Linked DNA regions of Nothobranchius furzeri. The protein of the gene in region 4 interacts with the protein of the main gene of each other region in a pairwise test. Links are inferred from orthologs where the notes say so. Each region holds a gene or a part of one and is shown on either strand. Other genes may lie near its edges.

What was found.
Region 1: the proteins of cep63 (region 4) and calcium/calmodulin-dependent protein kinase kinase 2 interact in a two-hybrid assay, tested with the Homo sapiens proteins (2 studies listed by BioGRID and IntAct). The link is inferred for Nothobranchius furzeri from reciprocal best matches to the Homo sapiens genes CEP63 and CAMKK2.
Region 2: the proteins of cep63 (region 4) and smc3 interact in a two-hybrid assay, tested with the Homo sapiens proteins (2 studies listed by BioGRID and IntAct). The link is inferred for Nothobranchius furzeri from reciprocal best matches to the Homo sapiens genes CEP63 and SMC3.
Region 3: the proteins of cep63 (region 4) and txlnbb interact in binary tests that used the Homo sapiens proteins (3 or more experiments, as listed by UniProt). The two-hybrid records come from large-scale screens. The link is inferred for Nothobranchius furzeri from reciprocal best matches to the Homo sapiens genes CEP63 and TXLNB.
Region 5: the proteins of cep63 (region 4) and ppp4r1l interact in a two-hybrid assay, tested with the Homo sapiens proteins (2 studies listed by BioGRID and IntAct). The link is inferred for Nothobranchius furzeri from reciprocal best matches to the Homo sapiens genes CEP63 and PPP4R1.

What each region holds. Positions count from the first base shown.
Region 1 is NC_091746.1:48,735,373-48,739,676, forward strand, and holds the start of calcium/calmodulin-dependent protein kinase kinase 2, read left to right. Parts: upstream 1-1,496; 5' UTR 1,497-1,684; coding exon 1,685-1,753; intron 1,754-1,972; coding exon 1,973-2,314; intron 2,315-4,304. UniProt on the Homo sapiens protein: Calcium/calmodulin-dependent protein kinase belonging to a proposed calcium-triggered signaling cascade involved in a number of cellular processes. Isoform 1, isoform 2 and isoform 3 phosphorylate CAMK1 and CAMK4. Isoform 3 phosphorylates CAMK1D.
Region 2 is NC_091744.1:4,689,811-4,693,324, forward strand, and holds part of smc3 (structural maintenance of chromosomes protein 3), read right to left. Parts: intron 1,229-3,514; coding exon 1,149-1,228; intron 1,055-1,148; coding exon 976-1,054; intron 1-975. UniProt on the Homo sapiens protein: Central component of cohesin, a complex required for chromosome cohesion during the cell cycle. The cohesin complex may form a large proteinaceous ring within which sister chromatids can be trapped.
Region 3 is NC_091758.1:20,072,789-20,076,769, forward strand, and holds the start of txlnbb (taxilin beta b), read right to left. Parts: upstream 2,811-3,981; 5' UTR 2,688-2,810; intron 76-2,687; 5' UTR 37-75; coding exon 1-36. UniProt on the Homo sapiens protein: Promotes motor nerve regeneration. May be involved in intracellular vesicle traffic.
Region 4 is NC_091756.1:60,715,103-60,719,190, reverse strand, and holds the start of cep63 (centrosomal protein of 63 kDa), read right to left. Parts: upstream 2,802-4,088; 5' UTR 2,649-2,801; coding exon 2,608-2,648; intron 2,508-2,607; coding exon 2,330-2,507; intron 770-2,329; coding exon 674-769; intron 595-673; coding exon 505-594; intron 436-504; coding exon 331-435; intron 220-330; coding exon 46-219; intron 1-45. UniProt on the Homo sapiens protein: Required for normal spindle assembly.
Region 5 is NC_091743.1:58,786,413-58,789,926, reverse strand, and holds part of ppp4r1l (serine/threonine-protein phosphatase 4 regulatory subunit 1), read right to left. Parts: intron 1,854-3,514; coding exon 1,788-1,853; intron 1,584-1,787; coding exon 1,425-1,583; intron 1,020-1,424; coding exon 895-1,019; intron 664-894; coding exon 158-663; intron 92-157; coding exon 1-91. UniProt on the Homo sapiens protein: Regulatory subunit of serine/threonine-protein phosphatase 4. May play a role in regulation of cell division in renal glomeruli. The PPP4C-PPP4R1 PP4 complex may play a role in dephosphorylation and regulation of HDAC3.

The DNA.
Region 1 (4,304 bases), on a different chromosome or scaffold from region 4:
CGCAGGCCCCCAAGAGCTCGTCGTCGTCTCCTCCTCTGCCCCAGACGGAGCTCCCTGGACTTTACTGGTTCCTGCCTCCTCTCCACCGGTCCCTCAGTTCCTCTTGGCCCTCCTTCCTGGTCCCCCTCCTCCCACCCTGCTCTGTGTTCCTGTGGGTGTCTGGGATCCGCCCTTTGAGGGGGGGGGGGGGGTGTAGGGTACTGTCACACCCTGTCCTGTCTCCCCGTTCTGTTTAGTCATGTGTCTCTAATTGCTCCCACCTGCCTCTCGTTTTCCAATCACCCAAGCTCCCAGCCCTCTTGTATTTAAACCCCTTCAGTTCTGTGTCTCGTGTTGGATCATTGTTTCTATGTCAGCGTGTTCCCGATTAAAATCCCTGTTTTAATGTTCCTGTTTGCCTGCCTGCCTCCTTCACCCGTGTGTGGATCCTCACCTCCGTCTCACTCACCAGCACGCCTGACATTATGTTTCTATCCTAATGAAAAAAAACATGTTTAATATTTTTGTTTTACTGAAAGTATAACAAAACTGATTACTAGTGTGCTTGGATCCTGTATGTTCTTTTCTAGTTTAGTTTAGTTTATTTCAAACAAAGAAAACATACATCATTTTTTTTAAAATACCACAAACAGAAAAAATACATATCATCATCCCTTCTTCTCTGTTTGAAAAGGAGTAGGCAGAAGTGGGAACTTATATGTCCCTACCCCTTTATACAAGTAAGTTTTACTTGTTTACTAAATCTAACACAAAACCTACATTAAAACAAACAAAATGGTACAAGTCACCAAAAAATAAAAAATAAACACCAAACCATATGGGAAAAAAAACAACAAAAAAAAACACATTTTTTTTACAATTGATACAATTTACTTTTCCTTAGAATAAAGGACACCCACTTAAATCATCGATTTTCCACTATATACTTGTTCAGAATATGTTTTTTATAATTCATTTTTAACACATTTATATTTGTACTTACTTTGATTTCCTCTTCTAAATTGTTCCATAATCTAACCCCTATTATTGTGATACACAATATACACAACCCCTTTTAGGGGTTAATAGTTAAATGCTTTCTAAGACACATGAGAAGTGTGGGTTTCAGTACCGTCCTCTAAATAAACAACATCAAAAACGAACTCTGAATGTGGAAAATAGAGCTGTGCTGCTTTAAATGTGTTGTCAGCTGAGAAACAGCTTTTGTCTTACTTTTCTGTGATGGGGACTTTGAAGTTCAGATGTGCTAAAGAAATGCAGATTGGTTCCAGCTAACACTCCTACCTGTTGACACAGCTGTGAGCAAAATAAAGACATTCCCATAAAATCTGACAGTTTAACCACCTCTCAAATGCTTATGTGTAGTTGTGCAGTAGCGGGGAAGTGTGTATTTGCAATTTTTTACGTAACAATCTGTCTTTTACTTTCTAAACAAACCCATATTTTTCTGTCCCTTTGCCTTAGACACATCTCCCCTTCGAAGGTTTGCTCTGATGGAGCAGCGATTCTCAGTCTTCCTGGACAGGCACCATGTTTCCTTGCCACGTAACTGCTTGGCCTTCTGCTGAGCCCCCAGCGTCTTGCGGTAGCCATGCCCCCTCAGTGCAGCCCTCCCAACCTCTCCCTGATCTGCTGTGCAGCTGTCCTGTGCCACCTTTAAACACTTACACTGTCCTCGGACCCCATGGAGTCCCTCATCGTGGTCACGGAGTATGAACCAAGCCGGCCACCTGGACAGGCTGCAGAGGAAGAGGTGAGATGAAAAATAATCTGATTTATAGAAAGTGCAAGATTCAAATACATAATTGGGAAAATTTGTAATAAATCTTCATATTGACCTAAAGTGAAGTTTCAAATGCTAGCCTGAATAAAAACACAAACTTTAACACCTTATTAAAAGTTTGTACTCAACTACTGACATTTATTTATGTTAAAATGAAGTAACAAAAATTATTTCTATGCACTACATCAGGTAGAAGAAATGGACAGCTCTGAGACGCCCGAGCCTGCTTCCTCCCCTGCAGCACCTTTCCGGACTCCATCCTGTGACCTGCTGTCCCATACATTTGGTCGGCCAGAGGCTCTGCTGCCGGAAAGCCAAGAGCAGAGGGGCAGGCTGAGCCTGTCCGACCGGAAGCTCTCTTTGCAGGAGCGCTCACAGACGGCAGCATCCCCCTGCAGCTCCCCTGGATTAAACGGGCGCTATATTTACCCATCACTACCATACTCTCCTATCACATCACCCCATTCTTCTCCACGTCTGCCCCGCCGGCCCACCGTGGAGTCCCACAGCGTCTCCATCACAGATCTGCAGGTACTGTTCAACCCTGAACTTTACCTTTTAGTTTTAACACCACAGTCAATTATTTGGGTTGTCACATATCAAATAATCATGACTTTAAAGAAAATTGTCTAATTAATGGCCACAAGCTGTGCAGGAGTACTGGTGATAATGTGATTCTGGATCTCTGAACCATCTGACCCACTTCATTCTTTTCTAGATGTTGTGTGTTGCATGAAACCCAAAAAACTTACTCTGACACATAGCCATGGTTCTCTTTAAAGATGTGGTTCACCCATTTAATCAATAGAGCTCCGGACGTCACGTGACTCTCAGAGAGTAGACGCCATGTTGGCAGGCAACAAATGTAAACAAAATGAACGGGATCGGCTTGGATTTTACTTCGTTGGAGTTTACTTCACACTTTAAAACCAAATAAATCTTTTTATATAGTCAGAAATTAAATTGACTAAACATCTCCGACCCTTACCGTGCCCCTGGGATACTTTTTAAAAATGCCAGAAGCTGTCAGAACGGACTTCTTACCGGACCTGGCCGGGGAACGCCTTGGGATTTCTTCGGAGGAGCTGGCCCAAGTGGCTGGGGAGAGAGAAGTCTGGGCCGCTCGACTTAGGCTACTGCCTCCATAACCTGACTCCGGATAAGCGGATGAAAATGGATGGATGGACAAATAACATAGATTTACATGTAAGTAGTTTAAATAGAGTGCTGTGCTGTTTGAAAGTATAAACTGAGCGCCAAGAGAAATCACTAGTCTGATTTTTTCCCGTGAATAAAATAAATATGTCAGGCAGGAGCGTCTCAGGATCTGTCTGAGATCTGTCTCGGTGAGACAGATAATAGCAATCCAAAGTGCTTTTTATGTGTGATCTGACAATTGATCAACCATTGCTTAAAAATTAAATACAGCTTAGCCGGTTAATTGCTGTCATCATAAAACACGTAAACGGCAGCACGCAGAAACACGAGGCAACGTTTTACGTGACGTTTACTTGTTGCTATGAGTAATAAGACAGAAAAAGCCACGCCAAAATAAGTTTAGGAAGCCCACTAAGAATCGTAATAAAAGCATTTAAAATAAACACCATACACAGTTGAGGAAACGTTGGTTTAAGTACCTGATATGAAGCGGTCGCTGCATAAGCGAAAACCTTTACTCTCGGGATCCCACAGTTTCATTTTAGCCCGGTCACTAGCACGTTTTATTACAATGATCCAACGTTTGCAGCGCTCCGGATCTTGGGGAATCCTGTAGATGGCTCATTCCTTGTGTCGTCCACGTCTGTTCTGCATTCTGGGGCACAACAGGAATCTACCATATTTCCTGTTTGATTGAGTTTTCTGACAATAACAAATAGTCCAGCCGCTGGCTTCTGACTGCCAAGATGGCGCCGTTTTGATTGGAACTGTTGCATGCCGGGAGAAGTGACGTCAACTCCCGGAGCTCTATACATTTGCAGTGGTCTCTAGCAGGAATGCCATTTTCGGAGGTAGGGGTGGGTATGCCTGTTTCAGGAAGTACAAATCAGCATGAGAAAGAAGCTTCAGGTGGCAGGATTTGGATTTGAACATCTCCCTTCTGATCTGCTAACAGCAAAGCAACTCTATCACTGACTCTGTTAGCTCTGCAACGTTGATGCTTTATCTCCACAAAAAACACAAGCTTGAAGGAGTTCTGCTGTGTTGTGGAGTTGCTAATGCTAAGGGCTGTGATATACTTGCTGTTTGACCTCGTGTTGGTGCAGGCAGCAGGCTGCGTCTTTGTTCACATACTTGCTACTACACAGCACTGCACTGCATGTAGTTCTGGAGCATTCCATTAAGGGGTACACTAGACTATTCAGACCAGATGGAGAGAGCTGGGTTTGTGGGTACAGCCAAAACAAACATGGCGTCAATAAAAGACCTCACTAACTGGTTAGTTTGGAAATCACGAAAGAAAAAAAAGAGAGCAGCGGTGAGATGGTGTGAAAGCCCTCTAAACCAGATACAGAGTCACCAT
Region 2 (3,514 bases), on a different chromosome or scaffold from region 4:
CTCTAGTTCGCCCTCTTCTCCGCCTTCACTAACATCTCCGCCAAATACCGAAGACCCGGAACAACGTCCGTCCACTACTAGATTATTTTCCTGTTTTGCCCCTTCGTCTCCCGGCAACGGACAACAACTTCCGGGGTCAGATGCGCTGCTTCGTGTCTATCGCAGATGTAGAAAATCACCGGGAGCGCTTCTCCCTTCATAAAGGAGCTTCTTTCAGACATGAGGAGAGCTGTTTTGGTGGTAGCAGTCTCTCCTCCGTGCTGGTCTGTTTGCTGCCGGGTGTTTTTGGTTTATTTAAACTTGGTAACTTGAATTTAATGTTGGTAAAGCTACTGTTAGCATCTTCGCTAACAGCTTCTTGCGTTGGGATAAGCTGTTACGTTTTGGTTTAGAGTTCATTTTTTTGTGGTGTAGATCTCCCTTTTATTACATTTAGAGTGTTGTGGGTTTTCGGTTTAGTGTAAAATATCACCTGAGTTTGGTTTAACCCGTAAGACCACTCGCCTCACGCACATAAGTGACCAAAACAAAGCAGCATGGAGACACTCCATCTTCTACCACCTCTCAGGCAGCAGCCTGCACTCCCAAGTTCTACACGTCACCAGAACATAACCAACCGCAACACAATAAAAGCAGTGTTATACAAAATGGAAGGCCTGTAGTGTTTATTATCTTACAGTAACAATTTATCCATTTTTTTGAGGAATTTATTTGAGATTTTCTGGTTTTTGTTAATTGTGCAATAGAAAAATAATCATTAGATTAATTTTCTAAATAGTCATTAGAATAGTCGACTATTCTAATGACTATTTAGAAAAATAATCATTAGATTAATTTTCTAAATAGTCATTAGAATAGTCGACTATTCGATAAAATAATCGTCAGAATAATCGTTTTAAAAATAATCGTTTACCCCCAGCCCTAATAATTACTTTACGTGGAGCAGCCTAAAGACAAGTATTTTCTGTTTCTCACCTTTCCCTGCTTCACAATGTAATAGGGGTTACTGCGAGAGAAGCCGGCACTCTCCAGAAGGTTCATGACGTCGTTCTTACTGCAACGAGAACAGGAAATAGAATACATGAAAGAGACATCCGTGCATTGTCTTTGGGATGTGCATAAAGAGTCTATCCACACACGACACTCACGTCACCATCTTCTTATCCAAGAAGTACTGGTCCTTCTTTGCACCAATGACACGGCGAAGGGAGACTTCCTCCTTGTCAATCTGGAGGGAGATGACTTTGTTACTAGTGAAGTTGAAAGCAGCACACAGAGGCTAGTTGTGCCTGTTTAATTCACAACACCGATGATCAACTTATGATTTCTACAGAAATAGAGTTATCAAGCTGTTGTCAATAACACAATAAACTAAGTGTGATACACAGGGTTTTTCCTGCATTCAAATTTGCGTGGCAGCCGCCTCCAGCTAATTTTGTGCCACCCCAGCCTGATTTCACTCTGCCCCCAGCTACATGGATGCTATTTTAACTGCAGTTGCAGCTTTGCACTACAGGGGGCGCTGTATCAGCAGCGGTGCACCGAAAAGTCCTAAAACCGCTGCAGACAAAGACCAAAAATGCTTTTTCTCGCTAGTTACATATCTATGGTTGGTACTACTGATGTCCTGATTTTCCCCCAGGCTCTTCCATATCAGAGCAGTTTTGTACAGTGCGACGAAATAAACTGTGCGTGTCTGTTTATTTTTAAAAGTAGCACTGGTGCAACATCTTTGAATTACTATTTTCCCCAGAACTTAATTGAACAAAAGTAAGTTACGTGTAAGAAAAATTCTTTTTACTGGCGCACAGTGTGGTAATCTGGATGCAGAAGAAACCTGGTGCTGATGTCTCTGTGATCGCAAATTACGGGCCCATCTCTACCCTGCCTTTTACATCGAAACTGCTTGAGAAAGCCGTTTATCAGCAGCTGGTCTCACATTTAGCTGACTCTGATCTGTTTGAGGTTTTCCAATCAGGGTTCAGGTCTGGCCATAGCACAGAGTATGCTCTACTGAGGGTCTTAAGCTGGGCGAACACTGTGCGACTTTTTCACTCGTAGCACTCAGGTTCAGCTCAAACTGTACGACTTCCTCGCAGAGCAGATCTCACGAGTCATGTGCTCACACTGTACGTCTGGTAGCAACACGTCGGACCTAAAAATATGCTAACAATAGCAGTTTTTACACAACACGTCAGACTTTTTTTGTCTTTTTTTGCCCGATGTCCTTCGGGAGTGCCGCAGGAGGACACACAGGGATTTATGGGAGTTGGATGAGGAAAACGAAATAAAGAAAGTAAATCTGTGTTTTGTGATCAGTTTAATTTGACATGAACACGACGAACATGCTTTCTTGACAATCCTTGTCATTGTGTGTGTGAAAGACGTTCAGAAATAAAAACAAACAACGTGTGATATTAGGGAAATAGCGGGCGCGCGGTGTTGATGATTACGCATGCGCCGTGAGCGGTTCTGATACTTTATGAGTCGCAGCGGCTGGCTGCGCTGCTTCAACCTTCACGAGGAACAAGCAAAATATCAAACACTCCAGAAGTTTCTCAGTACGCCCGGCTTAACTGAGAGTCACGTAGGGTCCGGAGCTCTATTAAAACTAGATGATGTTTTTTCTTCTTGGGAGAGGCTCCACTGGGGGGTCCCGAAGGGATCGATCCTTGGTCATCTTTTGTTTGCCATTTATCTGCTTCCACTGGGGTCAATCTTTCGTAAACATGGCCTAGCGTTCCATCTCTATGCTGACGATTGCCAGATTTACTCTCCATTGTGTCAAGAGAAAGGTCTCTCTATCCAGTCCATTGTGTCCTGTCTTAACGAAGTAAAGTCTTGGCTAATGGCCAACTATCTGCATCTGAATGAGGAAAAGACAGAGCTCATTGTTTTTCACCCCAACAGCAGGGCTGTGGGTCGTTATGTTGATCTTGGCCCTCTTTCTCCCTACTCAAAACCTATGCTCAAAACCAGTTGTCACCAGTCTGGGGGTGAAAATTGATGCTGGACTTAAATTTGATGCTCACATCAACTCTGTGATCCGGTCCAGTTTCTTTCATCTGAGACGCCTTGCAAAAATCAAGCCTATGCTGTCGACAGCTCACCTGGAGCGGGTACTCCATGCTTTTGTAATTACAAGGCTTGATTACTGCAACTCTCCATATGCAGGACTGGGTCAATCATCACTGCGCCGCCTACAGGTTGTGCAGAACAGCGCAGCCAGGTTTCTGACTGGGACCAGGAAATGGGACCACATCGGTCCGGTTCTGGCCTCCCTGCACTTAGGGCTGGGCGATATGGCAAAAATAGAATATCACGATTTTTCCAATATTTTATCACGATTTCGATTTTATCACGATTTTTTATCCATGAATAGCATAACTTCTATTGCATATTAAAGAAGAGAAACATTGAATAAATAAACATTTATTCATATTAGGGATAATCAACACAGTGCTAACTCACTTATATTTTAAACTCACACCAGAGATGATAAAAGCCCTGAGAG
Region 3 (3,981 bases), on a different chromosome or scaffold from region 4:
GGTGGGGGCAGTGCTGCTCTCCTGACAAGCCTCCATTATTCTGAGCTAGTAGCAACACAAAGGAGACAGTTGCCTCTGCACGAGAGACCAAAAATAAATCATTTACAGACAGATCACGGCTGCTCTGTCTGTTATCTCACAACAAAAATGCTTTGATCACTTTTTCACATAAAAAAAAATCTGTTTTCATCGTTGAATTAAACATCATATCTGAGGTTTTATAGAAACAGTCTCCCCATTACAAACAAAAAACATGTTAGGATTTTTTAATATTAGTGTCACGATCTGCCCCTGCCCAACCTGACTGTGTTCCTCTCCTGCCGTGATTGCCCTTATTGTTCTCACCTGTCCCTCGTTTACCTGCCCATGTTTCCCTAATTAGCGGTCCATCATCTCCACCTCCTACACCGTGACAATTAGTTTGTGTAGCCACATCTGATTTATTTGTACAATTTAGGCCACTTTAAAAGTGGTTTACTGGAAAGAAAACCATAAAAGATCATAAAAGCGGGGGTTCCGCTTTTTGAAGTGTTTCTCTTAAAAGGCCAAAAGCAATGAATATCTTACATCCTCCATAAAGCCTTTTGGACAACATCAGTTAGGACGGGTGGACATTGTGTGGCTTTCACTCGTAGCATTCAGCTCCATCTCAAACTGGATGACTTCCTCGCAGAGCAAAGCTCACATGTTCTCTCACTGTACTGTTCACACTGTATGTGTGCTAGCAACACATCGGAGCTAAAATATGCTACAAATAGTCGTTTTTACGCAACATGTCAGACTTTCGATTTCTAAAACCTGTTGTGTTGTTACTGGTGGGTTTTTTTTCAGCATTTATTTGGAAAAATGAACATATTCAAACTATGTTATTAATGTGTGTTATCCTTCGGGCTTGCCATAGAAGGACAACATGGGGTTTATGGGGGTTTGAGAAGGAAGACAAAAGAAAGGAAGTAAAACAATGTTTTATTTGGCATAAAACACACTTTCTTGACAATCCTTGTCACTGTGTGTAGAGAAAAGTATAAAAATAAGTAATACAGCTTGAGTTGATACGAAAATAGCTGACGAGCCGTGTTGGTGCATGCGCTGTGTGAGCAGTTCTGGTACTTTTGGCTCGCAGCGCTGTTCCAACAGTGTGATAACCTCACGAGGGATGAGGAAAATATCAAACATGTTTGATATTTGTGCAATTACTGATTGGGAGCTGGTCGTGCGGTGCTAATCGCCTCTCGTAATCCCTGTATACTACTGGACACACAACACCAAACTCGCCTCAACCTCAAAGATTCTCACATGAGAACGCCTGGCTTTAAGAGGAACAGAAATTATCTCTGGTATGACAAACAAGCTGGTCTACCGTAGCCTTTTAAGCATTTAATTTCAGAAATGCTAAAGCAGCTAGTTTCTGCTGCAAACCACCAGAGTCTTATGTAGTTAATTCACACTAACTACTGTGAGGCTTTTGAGATATTCCTAATCAGTCTGTGACTTGCCCCACTGAGATCAGCATTTGTCCAGTCAGAACTCATCTCTGCTTCTCCAAACTGAGGTTGTTCAGTGCTATCCACAACAGCTACAGTATCCAAACCTGTGATGTTTAAGAGCAACAACGAGTACATTTACAGCCTGAATTTTTGTGTGTTTGATGCCTAAATTAGCAGCACTTAAATGATAAAGAAATCTTCAACTATGTAACCTGACATTAAAATCAACACCTTGAAATTCAGTCTAAAAACCTCATATCAAGTGTTTTTCCTCCATTTGAGCACCTTGCAGATCCTAACAAGATTTACAGAGAAAACTGGTTGGAGATTTCACATACATATTGTTGAGTGAAATCATAACAGATTAATCAGAATTAAGCAGATTCCACCACCAAGAAGCTTTTCTTATTTAAATATTCTATGCTGCTGAAGTTGTTTTTGTTTATTAGACTAAAAACATAACTTTGGTGCACATTTCTTTTGCAGAAACAGAAATACGCACCAAATAATGCTCTAGATGAAATATCTGAATGCCTTTTTTTTATATGAATTTCAATGTCTTTGCAGCAGCGAGGTGATAAACCCGAACAAAGCTTTCCTGGTGTAGTAAAGTCCATCATGCTTGTATCTGTGGAGTCGTACTCGCAGCCAGAGCCTGTTTAGATGCATATAATTAGCTTTCACAAGAAGAGCAAATGGCACCTGTTCCAGACCCACAAGCTATTTTAGGAACTTCTTAATATGGGCATGTTGTTTATTATTTAATTCTATTCCACTCTTTTTTTATGTCAGGGTCAGTGTTTCTTGAAAACATCTTTTTATTGTGGTTAAACTTCAAATAAAGACAAATATCTCTGATCTTTTAACGCTTTTATAAAGAAGTACATGTTAAAATGGAAATTTTACAGAGCTATGTGTAGGAAAACTCTTTTAACTATGCAGCGTTTCATTAGAGGTTAAAATGTTCCCTTTTCTCTCACCAGCAGACAATTTTAACTTCTGACAGCAAATGACGCAGGAAAGTCTCACTGCAATTAACAGCATCTCATCTTCAACAGACTTGGCAAACTCCAAACCGCCACTGGAGTCAGTCCCACGTTTGTTAGACGTGTGAGACAGATGTTAGGAAACCAAGAATTCTATGTTATTTGTGTGCAAATATCAGAAAAGAAGCAGGGTAAAGAGCAGGCAGGGTCTTACCAGGACTGAGGGCCAGATGGGGAACAGAAAGAGTGTGGAGGGGCTCGGACAGGCGGCCACCACTGATGCAACAGCTGTGATAAGAGCCCCTCAAAATAAACCAGGAGAGAGCAGCTCACTGCTCAGAGAGGGAGGACGCTCTGCAGCTCATCTCTGCTGCAAACCTCAGAGTAAAACTCGTTATTTGGTGTTGCACCTTTGCTACTTTAGATCAACGCAGTGCTGATTTAATTTTAAGCTTCGCTCCTATTAGTCATGAAAAGAGACTGAGCAGGAGAGAAGAGAAAACGCTGTTTCTCAGACTGGCCTGATAAGCCTTTCTTTCAGTTTTTTTTATTTTTTTACACAATCTGCTGATTTTGAGCTGACAGTTAAATTCTGAAAGCGGCTGAAAACTATCTACAAGGTGAACACTACTTTTGGAAGCACCCATTTTATTTTACCTCCACGCTGCAGCTGCAGTATTCAATTTTCGCCACCAGATGTAGCTATTACAAGTTTCACACTGGAGATATTTTTTTTCTGCCTCCCTAAAGACAGAAAGTGAATGATGGGCTCTAATTTAAACAGTTGTGAACCGCACAGGTGGAATGATAATGAGAGACCGATGTAGTTGGGGAGGGAGATAATCCAGCATCATTATCCAGCTCAGCACCATTGAAACTGAATATTACTCTCAATAATTATATTTCACGTTGTAAAAAGTAATAAACAGACCACAAAAAATTCTCCTCCTTCTGATTATATGAGATTAATATCTGTTGACAGGGCCCAATGTCTAATTTAATTCTTTGATGTAGGAATCCATTTTCTAAACGTGGGGAAATAAATATACCATATCTAAAATTGAAATCATCTTTTGGGGGGGGGGGGGGGGGGGGGGGGGCACCGGTGCATTTCCAGGAACCAAAAGTGAGCCTCATCACAGCTGTCTTATTTTCTGACATTTGGACATTTTACCTCAGATTACTTAACAGCAACGCACCTCTAACACTGACTGGCTTTTCTAATCCTTGTTTCACCATAGCAGGACATATGTGTGGGAGACTATTTTCATGTTCAGCCAGCATAACTTAGTGACTGATCAGAAATAATAATAAAAAATATGTTTTCAGAGTTAAGGTTATAAATCTGGCCACGTGCAAAGTAGCAGCTACGCTAGGGAGATGAGATTCTGCGCCGACGTCATATTTGCAAGTTTGCAACTTCTGCTTTGTAATTTTTTTATTTATGACTTTTTTAAGCAAATAAATCTCAAATTACGTGACAGACATAGTCAAAACACATAATTATT
Region 4 (4,088 bases):
AGCTGAGAAGCCACACATCTCACATGTTCCTGTCGCCCTGCTAACCTGCTGCTCTCTCTGGGACTGTCCCAACAGCACCTCCAGCGGTCTGAGGCGATCCAGTTCCAGTTCCTGTGAGTGCAGGCTGGCCTGAGCCTTCTCCAGCTGTGCACGCAGATGCTGCACCTCTGAACAGCACTCCTTGTGTTCCCTCTCCACCCGCCCCGATGCCCATTGGCTCTGGAAAAACAAATATTACTGAAATGCAACAACAATGCAGCAGTCTTCCACACTTTTATACACTAAATATGTCTGGCTTCCTGAGTGAAAGTCATAAATGTGCTTTTTAACCTTTAAGTGAGCAAGCTCCTGGTTCAGGCTTTTATTCTGGAGCTCCAGTGTGGTCAGCTGGTTTTGGTACCGAGTTCGCTGCTGCTCAGAGCGCTGCTGATGCTTCTGCACCAATGTAAGAACGATTAATCAAATTCCAGGAGATGGAAATGCCAGGAAAATCTATTAGTTCACCTTTGCAAGCTCAGTCTCCTTTCCACCTCCACTTGTCTCCTTAAGCTGTTTGCGATGAAGCTTCTGGTAACTTCTCTTCAACTTGTCCAACTATAAGAAACGATGTTAACAATAAACATGATACAAGCGATATAGCTGAGTGCATTTGAGGAAAAACAGATGATCACACCTCTTCACGGAGTCTCTTTAGTTGTTGTTCGTACTTGGATACCAACTCTTGCCGATCCGTCTGAACGGCTTCAAGCTGCTTGTGAAGAAGTCCAATCTGCAACAAATACATGAGGCATAATACTTCTGTTTTTATGTGTTTTTTAGATGCCTCTAAGGCCTTTGACAGAGTCAATCATCAGAAATTATTCATCAAGCTACAAAACAGAGGGGTCCCTTCTTACCTAGTTAGGATTTTGCACTTCTGGTACTCTCATCAACTGATGCAGGTAAAGTGGGGGACAGAAGTGTCTGAACCTTTCTCCGTATCAAATGGAGTCAGACAAGGCGGGATTCTGTCACCTGTCCTTTTTAACCTGTACCTTGACGAGTTGTCTGTTACTCTGAATGCTAGTAAGACTGGATGCTTGGTGGGTGACCGACTGGTAAATCATTTAATATATGCAGATGACCTAGTCCTCATGTCTCCCTATAGCGCAGGCCTGCAGCAGCTGCTCAGGGCATGTGCTAAGTATGGTGAGCAATTTGACATCCTGTTTAACCCTAAAAAGAGTGTGGTTATGATTGCTGCTACTAAAGGGGACCTGAAGCTTAATTTTCCATCTTTTAACTTAACAAATCAGGTCCTGGAAGTGGTAAGCAAAGTAAAATATTTGGGGCACATTTTAAGAAGTGACCTCTGTGATGACGAGGACATTAAGAGGCAGTGTGGTAAGCTGTACATGCAGGCTAACACTCTGGCACGTAACTTTGGCATGTGCTCAGATCCTGTAAAAGTGTCCCTCTTTCGTTCCTTTTGTACTCCTCTCTATACCGCCCACTTGTGGTGCAACTATAGTAAGGTAGTAATGAAGAAGCTTCAAGTGGCTTATCAGGATGCTTTTAGAATCCTCATGAAGCTCCCTAGATGGACTTCGGCAAGTCACATGTTTGTTACGAGTAACATCCCAACTTTTCATGCGCTTCTGAGGCTCTTCATGTACAAATTCATCTGCCGACTGAGTTTGTCAGCTAACGCGGTTGTTAGAGCTCTGTCATCTTTATCTTACAGTGACACGAGGTACTCCTCAGTCCTTTTTAAACATTGGAGCAACTGCCTATATGGTTTGTAATTAGAATGTGTTTGTATTTTATTTTTTTATTTATTTTTTATTTTTTTTATTCTTGTTATGGACATATCCCTTGTCTGAAATAAAGTTTGATTGATTGATTGAATAGGTGATGGTGTTATTATGGGAATAGAGATAAAATGCTTCATGCCACAACTATTTACTGTCTCCTTCCTTACGGTTTAAAACATGTCCTAAAACCAACATCCTCACACATTTACATTTATTTTTGAAACATTTAATTGAATCTGCAGGAGGTTTTGTTTTGAGAGTACAACGAATCTTCATAGCAGAGGCTTTCTGATCATTTAAGGAATAATTTAGTAAGTCTCCAACATTAGGTGAGGCCAGAAATGGAGACAGTGGCCATAAAAACTGTTTTAGCAGGAGAGTCCATGTTTGGAATTGGAAATGGGATGGAAAAATGTTACCTTCAAAATGCTGCATGTCAAAATAAGGGCATGCTTGCTTTTTTATTACAAGCTTCTGTGTTGATTAAATTACTTTTGTGATTCTTTTGAGCAAAAAAGGATGAATCGTCACTTCACCTCCAGATCCCTCCGTTCAATGGTAGTCTTGGAGGTTAAAAGCTCTTCTTCTCCACTGGTGACCCTGAGCTGCAGAGCGTGGAGCTCAGCCTCCCACTCCCTCTTCTGATGATTGATCATAATGTCAATCTGTCTCATCAGCTCCTGCAGCTCAGGCTCGCATGAGGACAGGACAGAGCTGCGTAGCAGAAGATTAAAGCGTGTTATCAACTTCATTTGTGTAAACACGCATCTAAAGATGGCTGACTTAGCCTCACGACAAACCAAACGTCTGTTACCTTATATCAGGATTCTGTATTGATTCCAAAGAAACCTCCATCTCGTTCAAAAATGGCGCCGTCTGTCCCCTCTGCGCGCTAAGGTGCTACAACACGGTGGACTCTATCCAGATTGTCCTTACAAGCTAAGACCGGCACGTTGTAGAGTATAAACAAGTTTGATGACATCGCTACGTCAACAACACTATTCGGCGTTCAACTGCTTTTCTTTACAAAGAATTTCCGGTTCCAAGGCGGTACATCCGCCTTCTAACTGTGACCTCATTACGTTTTACGTAGGCAACATTTTAAAAAATGTAATTTATTATTTGGTCTTCGACTTTAAAAATAAGGTTTGGGAGGGAAAATTAAAGAAAAAACAAACACATTAATCTCACGGCTTAAGATTCAGATGTCGTGTAACGTGAAGGTACGTCTGAAATTCCATGAAATTAGACATTCTATTATAGTGTGTAAAAATACAATAATACTTTTAAAACAGTACATTTACAGAAAAACTACATATCACTTTAAATTAACTTTAAATTATTTTATGTGTCTTTCCCGGACACGTGGCTCGTTGGTCTAGGGGTATGATTCTCGCTTCGGGTGCGAGAGGTCCCGGGTTCAAATCCCGGACGAGCCCATAATTTTTAGCATGGTCATTTAGAATGTGATTTGAAAATTCGGCGGTCTGCTGTCCGAACATATTGGTCGCTGTGTCGCTGCGTGAGTGTTGTATAAATTATCTGCTTGGCCATGGCTAGGGAAGAGGGATATCATGATAGCTTTTCCGTTTTTACCGCAATCCCGCGAGCAAGGTGTCATCGTGAACCGATGCTTCAACAGCACAAATGTCAAGAAAACATGAAACATTTATTACCTACAATATACATATGTTCCTTTAACACATCAGCATTTTGTTGGTAGAGGGGTATGATTCTCATATTGAATGCGAGAGACTCCGGGTTCAATTCCCAGATGTGCTAAGTTTTCTTTATATGTCTTTTGAGAAACATTTTATCAGGATGTGTTATGGTTAAGGAAAAAGCAAAACACATCACCTACTTTGGAACGTTCATCAACCCCTCCTTTACCACTCCCCCTTCCTCACCCATCTCTCCACCTGCCTTCATTCAAACTAAACAAAGAGCGTTTCCTCCGCTCTGCATCCCCAGCTGTTCATGGGAGGGCTTTTGGCTGTTTCGCCCCCACCAACGCAACAGACGCTCTAGCAGGAGGCAGGCAAGCTGCTCTCTGACATCATTCACAGCACAGACACCGAGCTGCACAAACCTAAAAGAAAACACCGCAGATACACACATCACCTGTAAGTAATCTGTTTTATTACAAACTATTATCTGACCATGGCTGTTTTGTGTTTCACTCAAGCTTATAAAAAAACCAACAGCATCCAACTTTAGGATTTAAGTGATTCATTTTGATGGTATTTGAAATGAACATAGAATTTGGTTCTAAACAAATTCTTCCCTTTTAAAACG
Region 5 (3,514 bases), on a different chromosome or scaffold from region 4:
TCCTCGGTAGGGCTGGTTTCTGTCGGGCTGCCGTCAGACGGGCTGTCGAGCTGGGCCGCCTTCAGAGCTGCTGACAAGACTTGGACTTGAACTGGAGGTGAAATACACACTCAGTTAAATCTACACACCAGTAAAATCTCCATTCCTATCTACCCACCTTGTACATCGGGATCAGCAATGTGAGGCGTCAAACAGTCCAAGACCTTTTGGATTTGATCGCTGGTAGCTTTTCCGGGGCTGGGTTTAGAATCTGAACTACTTTCCTGGTGCTCCTCCTCTTCCGTTTCCTCCTTTTCTGTGACTTCCTCCGATTTCTCACAATTTAGCATCTCCAGCTCCTCGCTGATGTCGGGTAAAGGAGGCCTCCAATAGTTGAAGGAATTAAAGTTCTCGTCTGTCTGCTCGTGTTCTTTTGTGTTCTTGATGTTGTTGGTGGCTGTGGGGCCGTCGCTGCTGTTTGTGAGAGTGAAGCCATCCGGTCTGTTTACGGGAACAGGAGAGCGGTTCTCCTCGAAGCTGTCCACGTCCTCGCCATCTGCAGAAGGGACGTGCTCCGGTGAGGGGGTGGCACGGCCGTCCTGATTGGGGGGTGTGTGGGTGATGGTTCTGTCTTTGAGGCAGCCGCTGATGTCGGAGCAGTTCAGAGGGTTTAGAGGACAGTTACTGAAGACACAAAAATGTAAAACACGTGAGTCATCTATTTGGTTAAACGTTCTTTTTTCAAACGCTGTCGGTTAAGCCGTACTCAATGACCCAGATTATGATCAATTAAAAAAAACTAATCCTCAAACTCAGGTCTGGTATAAAACTGGCCTTAAAACAACGTACAGGAACAAAGAAATTTTATCTTTGCTGATGTTCACAACTGCTTTGACAAAACGGAGGTGATCTTGCCTGTCTGGGGTACACCTGGGGACCTCTGGGAGGGCGCCGTCCTCTCTAAAGTGAAGTCCTGTGCTAGAGGGGCTGGCAAAGGTGGAGATGAATCGACCCAAAGACTGAAAGGCAGCTTGTCGCACCTGAAAGCAAATAAAGAGCGAAGTCCCTCTGTTCATCCCTTATTGAATTAGTCAACAACAATGTGTAGAGAGCAGATTTTATCGAAATAAGCTCCTGACTGCATCTCTGAGAAAACTCTTGGTGTGCACGCACATCAGAACAAACTGAAAAGAGTCTTAAACATCATAAAGAACTTCAAGAAAACGAGGATTGATAATGAATTGCAGAAATTCCTAGTTTACAACAAGCAGGAAGTGGTTTTAGGTTCCATCACTGAACACATTTAAAGAAATCAAATCCAGAACCGTTTTCATTTTTTGGGGGTAAAACATTCAAAATGAGAAACAACTCGAAGCAGCATCCGCCAGTATTTCCTTCCTAAAGAAACTAGTCATTTGAACTGAATTCGTTCCTGGTCGTCTTACCCAACGAGACTGATCGCTGATGAGGTTGATGAACAGGGGGGACAACTTTGAGCGTCGCACCTCTGGAGAGGTGGAGTTGGAGACTGTCATGAAGCACTCAGCGCATGCTTTCCTGATGCCCCAGAGGGAATCTGAGCACAGGTTGAAGAACTTGGACATCTGTGGTGAATGCAAAACCAAAACAATGTGAGTGTTTGAAGGGCAGAGAGCAGCAGAACAACAGAGACTCTGTTGAACTTTCATTACACCATGGTGACCTCACAACACCAACAAAGCTGCTCAATGCACAGACTAACATCATAAACAGGCTGCATTCATGTTAAAAATAAAGTATGAATTAAAGGAACAAAACAAGTCCCTCACCAGTAGTTTTTCTGTGCTCTCTTGACCAACAATAGAGCAAATTTCTCCAAAGTTTGTTGCACACACCTACAACACAAACATGAAGCATGTTTACAATTGGAAACCTTCTTAGAGCTTATGAACTTGTTGGGGGCTGAAAAGTCTTCTTTTAAGATAAGCAAACCTTGGGTGAAGATTCTTGTGCTTGTTTTAATCGTTTTGCTAGCTGGCTACACATAGCTATGTGGAAGATCCCTACTACACATAGCAAATGCCTAATCATTCTAAAAATGTACCAAAAAATAAAAATGACCTAAAATATCTCAAATACTAAACCTCAGATCTGTCCTATTTAGGCATTTTGAGTGAGAGGAGATGAAGCAGATGAGTTAGATGTATAAAATGTGTACGGTATGTAAACGTAGGGCTGCTCAATTAATCGAATTTTAATCACGATTACGATCTGAGTTTTGAACGATTATAAAAAACAAAACAAGCCGATTACTTGCTCCTCCCGCTTGCGCTGCCCTGAGTTGCAAATGAAGCGCTCCTCCCACAATGTTGCCAACTTAGTGACTTTGACGCTATTTCTAGCAGCTTTTCAGACCCCTTCTTAACTTTTTAACTTAAAAGTACCTAGCGAACACCTCAGAAACATCTCTGGTAGCCCTTAGCTACTTTCTGGATAACTGTCGTCGACATTTCCTGCAGGTTAGCTAAACACTCGAGAGGGTGCTCGCTGCAGAACCACAAAGGCGGAGCTGCACCATAAGGTGGAGCTGCACCAGAGTCAGCCCCGCCCATTCACGCAAACTCAGCTTACCCACTGACTTCCGTTTTTGTTTTCAACTTTATCGCAAACTGACCTGACCCACATGAATTACGGCTGTTACTAGTTTACAGTCGTTAATGCTATGTTCTAAACAAGATAAATATAACTTGCTACATGACAAAGACTGAATATATCTCGAAATGAAAAGGTTTCTTTTAGCGAATATCTGCCCACAGCCGGTCTAACAAAAGTGCTGTATAACAGTATGTCAGATTTTCGGATGAGCTTATGTAGTCTAGTGGTGAGATCGAATGGGGTAAATTTTGCTTTCCCCTCAGCTGATGCTGGTTCGACTCTCGGTGGGGTCGTCAGCAATCTATTTAGCCAGCTGAAACATTTAATTTGTTTATATTTTAGTTGTAATGTTTATTTTCAGCAAAATATTTGTCTCTAAAAGTTCTTTGAATTTGGTCGTTCTTAAACAGCATTTTAGTTGAAACTCTGCTCACAAATGGACTCACACTGGCTAAATAAACGAATAAATAAATAAAAAAACACATTAGTCATTATATGTTAAACGGTATACCAGTAAATTGTTTTAAACATAGTACTGGCAAGTGTAGCTAGAAATGAAGAAAAGAGGTTGCACACTACCTAAAACTTTCACTAATGGGAGGCGAACCTGCGCAAAACTGATTGTCAACCCAATTCCCTAACCACTACACCACCACATCTGTTGTAACTTATGCCGCGTTACATCTAACTGTCCTTCCCAGTGTGTCTCTGAGATGGGTTGTATGTTTTGGCGGTGTCTCAGTAGAAGTCATTTCAGAAATAATTTGTCAGAAAATTCACAGAATATCCAGATTTGAGAACCAAGACCATGCCCGCTTCTGGGGAGGAGACCAAATTGAAGCTGAGATGGGAGGAAAATGCATGAATGAGGCTAAAAATGGCTTTGGCGTGTTTCTTATGA